2 linked regions of the Sus scrofa genome follow. Each later gene encodes a partner of the first gene's protein in a complex. Links are inferred from orthologs where the notes say so. Each region holds a gene or a part of one and is shown on either strand. Other genes may lie near its edges. The genes, in order: KCNJ4 and TAX1BP3.

Region 1 (6,149 bases):
GGGTGGGGTGACCGCGGGGGAGGCGGTGGGGGCAGGGTTCACTCTCCCTGGGCTGAGAGAGGGAGTTTCTCCCGGGAAGAGGCAGCTCTGAAGCTGTTGATCTCTAAATTACAGCGTTGGCGCGCACCGGTTGCTGCGGCAACCGAGTTGTCCTGAACCGGGGAAGTGTATAAACATTGCCACAGATGCACAATTAGATCAGGAAGAAGAATAGAACAGAAAATAGAAACTTCCAGCCTTATATAATTCTGGGCCAAAACGTTACTAGGAACCCGGGCCCGTGCCCAACCTCGGCCCTGCCAGCCGGGCAGCACCAGTTCTCTCCTGGGCCCCAGTGGAAGGGAGGGGTGAAGGGGGCCTGCCCACCATGGGCCCAGCTGGCATGGCCCACCACCAGGTAGGGTGAGAGGCCACCTCCACTGAAACAGCTGCGGATGCTGACAGGCAAATCCTGCCTCTCACCAGCCTATCCTGCTCCTTGGAAGCGGAAAGGCAGGAGGGCACCTGGCTTTAACAGAGCACCTCCCATCTCCTGGGGTCCTGCGAGGTGGGATTTTGATCCCCATTTTACAGATGAGGAAACTGAGGCTCAGTGAGTTAAAATAAGTTATCCGAGGATATAAAGCTACATGATGGGGCGTCTGCCTCCGCTACTCCAGGTCTCCACACCATGAACTATTCGATAGTGACAGCACCTGGGGCTGAAGTTAGCCATGCCTGGATTTGGACTCACTTACCACCTGCGATATGGAAATAGGGGTGCCTATCCGGGAGCCCAAGCTCAGGGCTCCCCTTAACTCTGTCTTGAACACCACATTGGAGCCTTCCCCCACCACTGCTCCCAACAAGTCTGGGGTCAGGACAGGAACTGAGCTGGGGCCATGGGTCCCAGCCCTGCCCAACAGAACCTTCTCCCATGATGAAGTGCCCTATATCTGCTCTGACCAGCTCGGCAGCCACCAGCCACATGTGGCCCCTGGGGAACTGAAGTGAACATTTTATTTCATGTTAACTAAGTGTAAGAGCCACAGGGGGCCAGTGGCTGCTGAGTTGGACTGCACAGGAGAATGTCCACCCCCGAGAGACCCAAGAGGGCAGAGGCTGGACCCAGGGAGATGAGCAGGGGCCCAGAGCATTCATGACTCCCTCTGTTCAGGGCAAGTGGGACAAATGTTGGGAGGACGATGCCGAGATGGGCATCAGGAAGCCTCCAGAACATCGGAACATCAAGCAAAGGAGACCCGGTTGTGCACCGGGAGTTGGGGAGGGAGGACGTGAGAGGCTGAGACTAGGACCTGGATCCTGGTGGCCTCAGCTTCTGGTCCAGCAGCCCTCAATCCTGGAGCTGGGCTGGCCGTGGAGGCACCGGCTCAGGCCCCTGCACTCCCTCCCTGTCGGCAGGACCGCCTTAACTTTCCCAGCCTTGCGTCCTGGTCCAGGCTCTTCCCCTCCTGAGCATCTTTGGGTGGGTGTCTTGCCGCCCTGAGCTGGGTTCCCCGGGTCCTAGGAGAGCCGCCCCCCAGCAGAGGCCACCACTCCCGGCATCTCACGTGTCTGGCTTCTCCCCCCTCAGGCCCTGCGTCTTCCCAGGTGAGCACGCCGGCTTCAGGACATGCACGGGCACAGCCGCAACGGGCAGGCCCACGTGCCCCGGCGGAAACGCCGCAACCGCTTCGTCAAGAAGAACGGCCAATGCAACGTCTACTTCGCCAACCTGAGCAACAAGTCGCAGCGCTACATGGCGGACATCTTCACCACCTGCGTGGACACGCGCTGGCGCTACATGCTCATGATCTTTTCCGCGGCCTTCCTCGTCTCCTGGCTCTTTTTCGGCCTCCTGTTCTGGTGCATCGCCTTCTTCCACGGTGACCTGGAGGCCGGCCCGGCAGGGGCCACGACGGGGTCCCCGGCGGGAGGCGGCGGCGGCGGCGGGGCGGCCCCGGCGGCCCCCAAGCCCTGCATCATGCATGTGAACGGCTTCCTGGGCGCCTTCCTGTTCTCGGTGGAGACGCAGACGACCATCGGCTACGGCTTCCGGTGCGTGACGGAGGAGTGCCCGCTGGCCGTCATCGCCGTCGTGGTCCAGTCCATCGTGGGCTGCGTCATCGACTCCTTCATGATTGGCACCATCATGGCCAAGATGGCCCGGCCCAAGAAGCGGGCGCAGACGCTGCTGTTCAGCCACCACGCGGTCATCTCCGTGCGCGACGGCAAGCTCTGCCTCATGTGGCGCGTGGGCAACCTGCGCAAGAGCCACATCGTGGAGGCCCACGTGCGGGCCCAGCTCATCAAGCCCTACATGACCCAGGAGGGGGAGTACCTGCCGCTGGACCAGCGGGACCTCAACGTGGGCTATGACATCGGCCTGGACCGCATCTTCCTGGTGTCGCCCATCATCATCGTCCACGAGATCGATGAGGACAGCCCCCTGTACGGCATGGGCAAGGAGGAGCTGGAGTCCGAGGACTTTGAGATCGTGGTCATCCTGGAGGGCATGGTGGAGGCCACTGCCATGACCACCCAGGCCCGCAGCTCCTACCTGGCCAGCGAGATCCTGTGGGGCCACCGCTTTGAGCCCGTGGTCTTCGAGGAGAAGAGCCACTACAAGGTGGACTACTCGCGCTTCCACAAGACCTACGAGGTGGCCGGCACGCCCTGCTGCTCCGCCCGGGAGCTGCAGGAGAGCAAGATCACCGTGCTGCCCGCCCCGCCGCCCCCGCCAAGTGCCTTCTGCTACGAGAACGAGCTGGCCCTCATGAGCCAGGAGGAAGAGGAGATGGAGGAGGAGGCCGCGGCCGCTGCCGCCGTGGCCGCGGGCCTGGGCCTGGAGGCGGGCTCCAAGGAGGAGGCGGGCATCATCCGGATGCTGGAGTTTGGCAGCCACCTGGATCTGGAGCGCATGCAAGCCACCCTCCCGCTGGACAACATCTCCTACCGCAGGGAGTCCGCCATCTGACCTCCAGGCCCGCCCTCGTCGCTCCCCACAAGAGCCTCTGCCGGGGTGGGATCCCAGGACCCCCCGCACACTCAGGACAGAGCTCACCCTGGCTCCGCGGACCTTCTGGAGGGAAGTGGGGGGCTTCGGAAACTGGGGGACCCCTTCTTACTGGCTCCAGAACCCAAGCCTGGGAACGGCCCAGGCTGCCCTCAGTCTGGGCAGCCCAGGTTGCCCAGCGCCCACCCACTGGTGACTCAGGGACCCCAGGCCCACCCCCCTCTTCCCACCGACCCTTCGAGGACATTCACCCTTTGCTCTCAGAACCTTGGGGAAGGCGGCTGGACTGTTGGGGGGGGTGGGCATCTTGGGGTTCTGGGGGGGCCGGTGGTTAGCTTGGGGGGCGGGAGGGGGGTGCGTTTCTTCTGCATGACTGTGGAGTCTGTTGCTCATGACTTTCTTTTGTAAATATCCATAAAGGGAGAGATGGAGGCACCAAACCCACCTTCTGCCATTTGTACCTGCAGGACGAGTTGTCCCTCGCTGTGCATCCCTCCCCCTCCCCACCCGTCAGGCCAGCCCCTTCCCCTGCCCAGCTGGCTGGCGGCTGGGGCCCCTCAGAGCCAGCTGTCCTAGCTCCTGGATAGCGCTGGGTTTGGGTGCAGGAGTGGGACACCCGGGAGTAGGAGGAGGGCCCTCCCTCCCTGTGGTCCCTCTGGGCCCCCAAGCCGAGCCCAGACTGACAATGGCGTTTGTAACTATATATTTTTAATAAAGTATATGGTCCATTAGGGCTAGGCTGGTTGAAGATGGAGGATTGGGAAGAAGAGACAGGGAAAGAGGGAGAGGGAGAGAACAATGAGACGTACGTGTGTGTGTGTGTGTGTGTGTGGAATGTATCTGCATATTGTGCATATGTGTGTATGGAGTGTGTGTGGTATTTGTGTATATATACATATGTGTATATATGTGTATGTGTGTATATATATATGCGTGTGTGTGTGTGTGTGCCCCTATCTGAGAGACTGACCCTTGGAGGGAACTTTATCTCCTCTTGCTAGTCCCCTTCTTGGGAGCCAGTGGGAAGGATCCTAAGTGGGCATAAGAGGTTTGAGTGGGTTGGAGGCAGCACTGCTATGAACTAGCTGTGTGGCTCTCAGAAAATTGCCCATCAGCTCTTGGCATCAGTTTCACCATCTGTAGAATGGGATGCACCACACATCCTTCCTAAGGAATGTCAGCCAACCCTTGATAATTGGGGAGAAGCGAGAAGGTCCTGCTTAGTTTATACCCCGCCCCCCAAACACTCACACATCTGCCTGGACTCATGAACTTGGCTGCAGGACACTGAGGTGTGAGGGGCTCTGGAGGCCAGCTGTGTAACCTTGTCATACATAGCTGGACTTGGCCTCTGCCTCACTGTAGGACTTCGGGTGAGTCCCTTCCCTTCTCTGGGCTTCGGTGAGCCTATGCAGTGTACAAGCCACTGTAAATTTAAACAGTGCTTTATTCGTTCTAAGACTCTGTGGGCGGGCTGGGTGGCTCCTTGTCTGGTTTCTCTGGGCTCACCCCGGCAGCCCTGCAAGCAGGAACGTTGGCTGGGCCATAAGGTCCAGGAGGGCCCTCATGTGTTGGGCAGTAGGTCCTGCTGTTGGCCGCAGGGGGCCTCAGTTCTCCATCAGTGGCCTCTCCTCCTCCAAGAAGCTACACCAAATTCCTTTACGGCATCTTAGGGCAATAGCTTAAGAGGGTGAAAGCAGAAGTTGCAAGGTCTCTTGAGCCTGGCCTTGAGCTTGTATAACATCACTTCCATTGCATTGGCCAATCCAGGGTGTGATTCAAAGGGTGGGAAATTAAACTCCGCCTCTTGGGAGCGTGGTCAACTCCCATCGCAAAGGTTTACACACCAGGTGGAACTGGGCCAGACTTGCTAGTCTATTACAGAAACTTTGCGTTTAAGGGTTCCTTCCAGCTCTAAGTCTATTGTACATGCCAACTGTGTACCCAACATTCGGGCAATAAGGAAGCAGCAGGCACCCTCCCTGTTCCCTGGAATCTTCCATGCAATCATGCCAGCTATCTCAGGAAAACTGCGGGGAACCAGCAGGTCAGCTCACCTGCTGAGGAGCTGGGAAGTGCTGTTGGCTGCTTTGTGAATGACCACATTTCATCAGCACTGGCAACGCTCGGCCATTTGGGCAAATCATTGTGCATGTCACATGCCTTAACAGTTTAACAGGAGAACCTGAGGCCTCTTTCCTGGAGAAAGGGGTCCAGGTTCCCAACAACGCATCACAAGTTCTCTCATTTGCATCACACCTTTCAAGGGCTTTGGGACGAGGATTTGGTTTCAGAGAGGAAACGGAGGCCCAGAGAACCGAGGGACTGACCTGAAGCAAGGTGAGGGTGGTCAGAAGCCCCAGTCCAGGCTTCCCTTCAAGGGCCCGTAGGGGCCACTCGGCCAGACAAAAGTGCAGCTGCTCACCTGCCCATGCCCGTGGGCCTGGTGCCCTTCTCTCAGGTGGGAGCATCCCAGGTCTCACTCCCCACCCCAGTGACCGTCCCACCATCCAGCCCTGGGAGGACCACCCTGGATCTCATCCTCTCCTCCCTGCTGCGTCTCAGCCCTGCTTGGTGCCCTGAGCAGCCAGCTGTAACCAAGGAGGACCTCAGACTCAGCATCTGGGACTGGGAACACTCTTAGGGCCGCCCAGCCCCCCACTGGCAAGGGCAAGGGGGGAGCTGTAGGTATGGATGGGCCTCCTGGCCTGAGTGACACGGGGGCACTTCCAGATCCCTCCCAAACATCTTCATTGTCACCGTCTTGTCACTTGCTCAGACGCTTGTGACACATGTGACAGTGGCTCCTTAAGGAGGGCCCATCTCTTGGTTTACATGTGAGTGTGACCCAGGGTAGGTAAGTTTTGACAAGGGCCGAAGCAAAGGCTTCCTGGGGTGTCCAAGTGGAGGGCGCTGGGGATGGGCATGGGGTGGGGGCCCCAGGGGCATGAGCCCGGAGCCCAGACGTGAGCACCAGTGGAGGGCAGGCTCCAAGGCTGCAAAGCCCTGCTGCTGTGCTCTGCGCTGACTCACCTTCCCTCTCCCACCTGCTCCCTTCAGAGCCTCCCACCCGCCTTCCCCGCCCCTGCACCCAGGCAGGCAGCTCCTCTGATCTCTCACTGCACTTGGGCTCCAGGCGGCACTGAAATAGGGG
Region 2 (6,988 bases), on another chromosome or scaffold:
AGGGAGGCCAGCGCCCCTTGGTTGGGGTGCGATGGGTGAGCAGTGAGCCTGCCTGGCTTCTGTCCGGGCAAACCTTGGTAGTGTCTCTGGCAGTGTGAGTCGGTCCTCACTGGGGAACGTGGCAGGGGGTGTGGGGCACAGGGCACGGGGCACAGGCACTGTAGGGCTGAGACACGGGGCAGGGGCAGGACCATGCCCCTGAGTTTCCCAGCGGTGTGGTGCCCTCAAGTAGTGGGGGGTGGGAGGGCTCCTCGCCTGGGCACGGTTGTGGCCAAGCAGCAGGGTTTGGGGGCTGAGTCTGTGGTCATCATAGACTGATTCAAACTGGGCTCCAGGCCCTCGTTGCTAATCCTGTGTCCAAGGGAAAGAGCTCGGGCCCGTGGTGGGAGAGAAGGAAGGCTGGGTCAGGCCCCTGGGACCAGCTCTTGCCGCTCCGAGTCGGGGCCCAGCCATCAGAAGCCAGGACAAGGGACAGACAGAGCGTGGAGGTGGTGTCACTGCACAGAGGCGGGCAGGCGTGCGGCAGGGACCTTGGCAGCTGCTAGGACAGCATGGACTGCTGCACCGCCTTCTGCAGCGACTGCCGCGTCACCAGCAGCCGCACCACCTCCTCCGAGCGCTTGGTGAGCCGCTTCCGGGCCTGGTCGTGCGTGACCATGGTCATGTCCCAGCCGTTCACCTGGCCCAGGGAGAGAATGCAGCCCCCTCAGCTCGCCGCCCTCTGGGATCTGCAAGCAGGACGGGCTGTGGGGGGAACTGAGTCACCCAAGCTGACGCCCCAGATCTGGGGACACCAAGCGCCACCACACACAGGAAAGAGGGCTATGCCAGCATAGGCTCCGGAGCGGCTTTGGTGAGTCTCCCAGGTGCCCGGGGAGGCAGGCAGGGGCAGCCCCACACCCCCAAACGCACCCCACGTGCTTTAAACCCTCTGGCCCAAGCCTTGTTTTCCTCCTTTGGGATGTCTGTTACCTGCATGATCTTGTCCCCGATCTGCAGCCCGGCAATTTCCGCTGGGCCTCCTTCAGATACCCGCGTGACATAAATGCCCTGAAAAATAGGCCCCCCAAGTCAAGCACTGGGGTCACAGGACCGGCCTCTTATCCATAGAGCAAAGCCCAGCATGGCATACTCTTAGCTGTCCATGTGTCCACAGCCAGCACCCCCCAGCACAGGCTGTGCCAAGACAGCCAAGGGGGCAGCGGGGCAGCCCCACAGACGCTCCAGCCTCTGTCTGAGCAGGCTTCCTAGTACTGGGAGGGCTGGCAGGCCCTCTCCCCACCCCACCCCTCCTCACTCCCACCAGATCATGTCTTGGACCTTTTTAAAGAGGACTGCTTGCGAGAGATGAGGTCAGCTCCTTCCACAAAGGCCCAGGAAGCAGAGACCCACCATCTCAGGCCTCTGTGCCCCACGGAGAGGTCCCCAGACCCCCTCACCTTGTCTGTCTTATCTTCTGAGAAAGGATTCTGAGAGGGATCCTGGTCAATTCCACCTCCAATGCTGAAGCCCAGGATTAAGTTCTCACCTTGACGCAGCTTATGAATTTCAACTCTTTGCTAGCAAAGATAAAAAACGAGTTGGGGGCGAGTGGGTGTAGAGAATGTGGCCTGTGTCTCCAGCAGCAGCCTCAGGCAGCTGGGTAGGCTCGGAGCCATGCCACAGAGGTGGGGCCCAGGATCTCCTGCAGGAAGCCAGCTATTCACCAGCCTGGGAGGCTGGGGGGTTAAGGCTCAGAACTCAGCCACACCAACCCACCCACACAACCCTTCTCCCTAACCTCTCCCAGCTTCCTACGTCACAGGTACCAGCCTTCTTAACACAGACTAAGCCCCTCCTGGCTCTTGAGCCAGGATGCTGTGGCTGTTCCGGATGGGGTCTTTGTCCCAGGGGAGGGAACACAGGGGCAAGAGGGGTCAAGCTCTGAACAAAACATGTAGGCACCTTGCTGAGGCCAGCTCAGATTGCTAAGCCAGCCCTGTTGAGGGTGAGACAGGAGATGCTTTAGAACAGCGGGGATCAGACTTGCACAGAAGGGAGGAAGAGCTGTCCTGGCCAAGAGAACAGGAGCAGAGGCTCGAAGGTGCTGTGGCTACATTTCCTTGAGACGGGAGTGTATGGCACAGGACCAGAACCGGGAGGCGAGGTAAGGCTGAGGCGAGATGCATTAGACTGGTGAGTGCAGGGCCAGGAGACCAGCCTAAGGGACAGGACATCTCCCTAAGCCCCGGGGCCCTGCTATTGTGCAGTGTAGGAGGTGGATGCAGGGCCCAGGGCACCCTCACCACACGGTGAGATTGTGGACCCCAACGGTGCCAGGCTCCTTTCAAAGCCCTCAGCAGGCACCTTCCAGACCAGATGACCACCCCACACCCCCCAAAGTTGAGAGTTTTAACAGGAAGAAGGAAAAAACAAAGTAAAAGGCAACTGCATGTGACCTGATCTGGATCTGAGGGGCTTCATGAAGGAGGGGCCGTTTGTACCAGGCCTTGGGCTGACCAGGAGTTTGGCCACCTGACCTTGATTTTGGACCCACTGGAGCTCCCAGGAGTTGGGGAGTAGGGCTGACGGTAGATCATGGTCAGGTTTGATGCTGAAACGACCACCCAGGCAGTAAGGCAACAGATGTCTCACAGAGGTGGGACATCTCCGGATGGCCCATCATGCAGAGGCGGCAAGGGGAGCACCCAGCCAGCCATCTGGCCCCGCCTGGCTGAACACAACCATCTCCCAGATGTGGATCCCAGAGAAGGAGCATGTTGAGCTGGAGAACCAAGAGCTGTCCAGGTAGGTGTCCAGAAGGTGGACGAACCTATGGACCCAGAGTTCAGCGAAGAGGCCAAATGGTTTTAACACTGTCACAGCGTTAAGTATGTGGGAGAGGGCCTGGGGTAGGGAGGAGCCTCTTCCACCCCATCCCGGATCCAGGACACAGGAGGGAGAAGCCAGGCCCCACCCACCATATTCAAACATGTTCCTAGAGAAGAACCAGGGGGTCATGGTCCTAAAACTTAGAGGAAGGCCCAGGGGCCAGGAGAGACATGTGAGAAAGGGGAGCAGGAAGCATGACACCTGAGGCCTGCAGGACCTAGGTCCTCGTGTGTAAGAGTGTGAGCTCCTCCAGGCCTGCTCCACCTCTGGGGACACCTCTGACCCATCTCCAAGGTCTGGACTGGGAGACAAGGCCCCATCACTGACCTCCTGGGTGAGGTCAGGGAGGCTCCTGCCTCTTTGGTTCCCCACCTGCACTCCCTTTTTTCTAGCTAAAGAGCAAACCTGACCCCTTCTCTCTGGGGCAGCTAGAAGGCTGGAAAAGCCAAGCCGGTGCAGCCAGGGTGAAGCTGAGGACAGCTGTCAGCAGTCCAGGCCTGAGCTGGTGTGCTAAGCTCACCCTCACATGGCAGCTTTATCAGTGGCTCCCTGGTCACACCACCTGGCTGCTGGAGTCCCCAACACGCCCATCTGGATACTGCAGCCAGTGGCAGGGCCCTTAGGGCTACGACTTCCATCTGACCCATTCCTTGCCCAGCAGGCATTTCTGCTCAGAGATCTGGGTCCTTCTTGAAGCCTTCTTTACATGGCTGGGCATGGCCAGACATCTCTCTGGGACTCAATTTCCCCACCTCAGCCATGGAATGGGTCTCCAGGCCCCATCCAGCTGTGACATTGGCGTCTGAGTCTAATGTCCCAACTTCTCTGCCTATTCTCATAGCACTTGGCACCCAAGATGAACCAAGAGGGCAACCAGGGGCCTGAGCCGACCCCGAAGGGTCTCCTCAGGCCCCAAGTGCCAGGAGGGTGACCTGGGCTTTGCCCCAAGAGTTGTTTGGGGATCCAGGGAAAGTTCGGAGCGGGATCAAGTCAGTTGTATGAGCCTTCACTCTGGACCGACTGACTGTGCGTCCGAGAAGGCAAGGCTAGATGGGAGGGGTTGTAGGACTGTTACTCAGGCTCCGGCTACCTCCACCCGCAAGTCTTGGGCGGCGGCGCCGGCTGGAGCGGAGGAAGCACTTCCTCATTCCAGAGGCTGCGACTCATGGACTTTGGATCCGGCGCCCGCCCCCCGCGGCTACCCAGCTGGGGACACAGGCCTGGGAAGGGGACGCTTCCTAGACTCCCACAGCCGGGGCCTTTTCCCTCAGTAAGAAGAGTCCAGAGCGGCGGCGGCGGCGAGCAGGATCTGGCCTTGATCCCGGGTCTTCAGGAAGCTCGTGGGTCCCAGCCACCTCTTGCCTGGCTGGGGAAGACCACGGCTCCTGTCCCGCAGAGCGGGAACCGGAGCTCTGGCTGCGGGTTTGCAGGAGTCCCGGGTTCGACGCTTTGTCAACCTGTTTGGTGTATCAATTTACCTATCTGCAAAGTGGGGGCAAGCCAAAACTAGGAAGAGCCCGAGCGAGCGCACTCACCACCACGGCGGTGACCGGCTGGCCCGGAATGTAGGACATCTCGACCCCAATCTGGAAGCCAAGCGCCGCTCCCCGAAGCCTGCAGCGAGAATCCCGGTGGCCGCGCCCTCTCTGGTTAACAAAGGCTGCACGGCCCAGCCCGCCCCCTTATGAATAGTTAACAAGACTCCAGCGAATCACCTGCCGGAGCGCTGTCCGGCTCTCGGAAGTTCCCGTGCGTGCGTAGAAAAGCGGGGAAGTGGGTGGTGCGTGCTTGAGGCGTCCTCAGTGCGTGCGCCAGAGGCGGAGGGGGGGCGGGGAGCGAGGCCTTGGCGCGTGCGCAGCCTGGGCCTTCCCAGCATCCTCTGCGCAAGATGGCGTCGCGGGAGTCCCTGCTCTAGGCTGTCTGAGGGAACGTCGAGTGACTACCTCCGCCGCCGCGTTCCAGGTAAGTGGCCGAGTCTAGGCGGGAAATGCAGCTATGCGGCCAGCCGTCCCGAACCCTCAGCTTTCTCAGCGTTTTTCGAAGGTCCGAGACGCTGGGGGCGGGGAGGTGGTGCGAAGTCTTGGCAGCCCTAGGGAAAGGGGCGGCGTGAACCCAACTCGCCAGGCTCTGGGCGCTACTTGTAACGTGGTTCTCTCCGCAGCCCCGCGTTGCTTCGGGAGAAAGCAGAGGCCGAGTCCGGGTGGGTGCGATGGCCGCTGTGGTGGTCAAGCGGGAAGGGCCGCCGTTCATCAGTGAGGCCGCTGTGCGGGGCAACGCCGCCGTCCTGGATTACTGCCGGACCTCGGTGTCGGCGCTGTCGGGGGCCACGGCCGGCATCCTCGGCCTCACCGGCCTGTACGGTTTCATCTTCTACCTGCTCGCCTCCATCCTGCTCTCTTTGCTCTTAATTCTCAAGGCGGGAAGGAGGTGGAACAAATATTTTAAGTCGCGAAGACCTCTCTTTACAGGAGGTCTCATTGGAGGCCTCTTCACCTACGTCCTGTTCTGGACATTCCTCTACGGCATGGTGCACGTCTACTGAAAGGAGGGCAGGGATGACTTCTTTTTGAAAAGCAGATTGGGAGGACGGTTGCCGGAAATTAACAGCGTGTAGACTTACCTAGTTTTTAAATTGTTGGATTCGCTGCTTGTTCTGTAACGTTATGAATAATTTATATCTGAAGACGAAGAGCCTGTACTGTTCTTCAGATTAAATGAAGCGTGAGACCCTTTGTGGAGTTTTTTTCCTACCTTAAAGCGCCGCGCTCCGCGTCCCCGTCCCCCCGTCCCCCCCCCCCTCCCGCCGCTGTGGGTGCAGAATCGCCGGGTTTTGACTCTGGGAGAGCTCTCTGACTGCGCCTTAGCTTTCTTTCATTTCCTTGCATTGACACATGGGCTATTCGCAGAGGGGTCACTAAGGCCTAAATAAGAGAACTTATTAACATCCCGAGAACTAATAACAGTCAATACTTATTAAGTGTGCTCTATATACCAGGCATTGTACTGCGCACCTTTCACACTCATTTCTTTTTCTTTTTTTTTTTTTTGCTTTTATTAGGGCCGCACCTGTGGCATATGGAAGTTGCCAGGCTAGGGGTCGAATCAGAGCTGCAGCTGCCGACCTACCTCACAGCCACAGCAACTTGGGATCTGATCCGCATCTCTGACCTGCACCACAGCTCATGGCAGTGCCTGGATCCTTAACCCACTGAGCGAGGCCAGGGATTGAACAGGCATCCTGGTAGATACTAGTTGGGTTTGTTACCGCTGAGCCACAATGGGAACTCCTACACTCAATCTCATTCTAGCAGTATTCTTATGCAGTAGATTGATTCTTAGCCCCCACTGATGAATCTGAGGCTCAGAGAAGTTAAATACCTCTACCATAGGAGGCATAGCTAGGAAAAGGCAGAGCCAGGATTTCAGTGTAGGTCTTTTAATTGCCCGTACTGAATTATTTGAGTATATCTTTTCAGAGCCCAGTCTTCCCTCCCACTAACCACACCTTTCAGTTGTGAGTGGTGTCGTTTCAGTTCCATTTCACCAAGTCAGAGCTAGCTGTTGTTTCCATTTAAAAAATAAGTAAGTTCAGGGAGTTCTCATTGTAGCTCAGCAGTAACAAACCCAGCTAGTGTCCATGAGGACTCAGGTTCCGATCCCTGGCCTCACTCGGTTAAAGAATCTGGCGTTGCCATGAGCTGTGATGTAGATCTCAGGTGCGGCTGGGATCTGGCATTACTGTAGCTATGGCGTAGGCTGGCAGCTGCAGCTCTGATTTGACCCCTAGCCTGGGAGCTTCCATATACTGCAGGTGTGGCCCTAAAAAGAAAAAAAAAAAAAAAAAAAAAAAGGAAAAAAAGAGGTAAATTCAAGTTCTTTTGTGGTGCAGCCAGTTAAGGATCTGACGTTATCACTACTCAGGTGGCTGCTATTGTGCGGTTTCGATCCCTGGCCCTGGAACTTCAACGTGCCATGAGTGTGGCCAAAAAGAAAAAAAGAGAAATAAATTCAAGCTCTTTCTTCTAGACTGTGTCTAGTGAAGATTAAACAGACAATGGTTAAGCTAAACTTTGGGCTTGTCTAGAGTGTAAATGCCTCTGTCTCTATGTTAATCCAT

The links.
Region 2: the proteins of KCNJ4 (region 1) and TAX1BP3 are in contact, whole or in part, in a crystal structure (PDB 3GJ9), measured with the Homo sapiens proteins. The link is inferred for Sus scrofa from reciprocal best matches to the Homo sapiens genes KCNJ4 and TAX1BP3. Residues at the interface, in NP_004972.1 of Homo sapiens: Arg440, Arg441, Glu442, Ser443, Ala444, Ile445; in NP_055419.1 of Homo sapiens: Leu27, Ile28, Leu29, Gly30, Phe31, Ser32, Ile33, Gly34, Gly35, Asp38, Gln39, Gln43, Asn44, Thr58, Arg59, His90, Asp91, Arg94, Leu97, Thr98.

The regions. Positions count from the first base shown.
Region 1 is NC_010447.5:9,545,565-9,551,713, forward strand, and holds the end of KCNJ4 (inward rectifier potassium channel 4), read left to right. Parts: intron 1-1,573; 5' UTR 1,574-1,612; coding exon 1,613-2,956; 3' UTR 2,957-3,726; downstream 3,727-6,149. UniProt on the Homo sapiens protein: Inward rectifier potassium channels are characterized by a greater tendency to allow potassium to flow into the cell rather than out of it.
Region 2 is NC_010454.4:49,754,467-49,761,454, forward strand, and holds the start of TAX1BP3 (tax1-binding protein 3), read right to left. Parts: upstream 4,561-6,988; 5' UTR 4,446-4,560; coding exon 4,407-4,445; intron 1,560-4,406; coding exon 1,440-1,559; intron 1,051-1,439; coding exon 973-1,050; intron 680-972; coding exon 542-679; 3' UTR 1-541. Other genes in the region: EMC6 (ER membrane protein complex subunit 6), read left to right, coding at 5,081-5,413. UniProt on the Homo sapiens protein: May regulate a number of protein-protein interactions by competing for PDZ domain binding sites. Binds CTNNB1 and may thereby act as an inhibitor of the Wnt signaling pathway. Competes with LIN7A for KCNJ4 binding, and thereby promotes KCNJ4 internalization.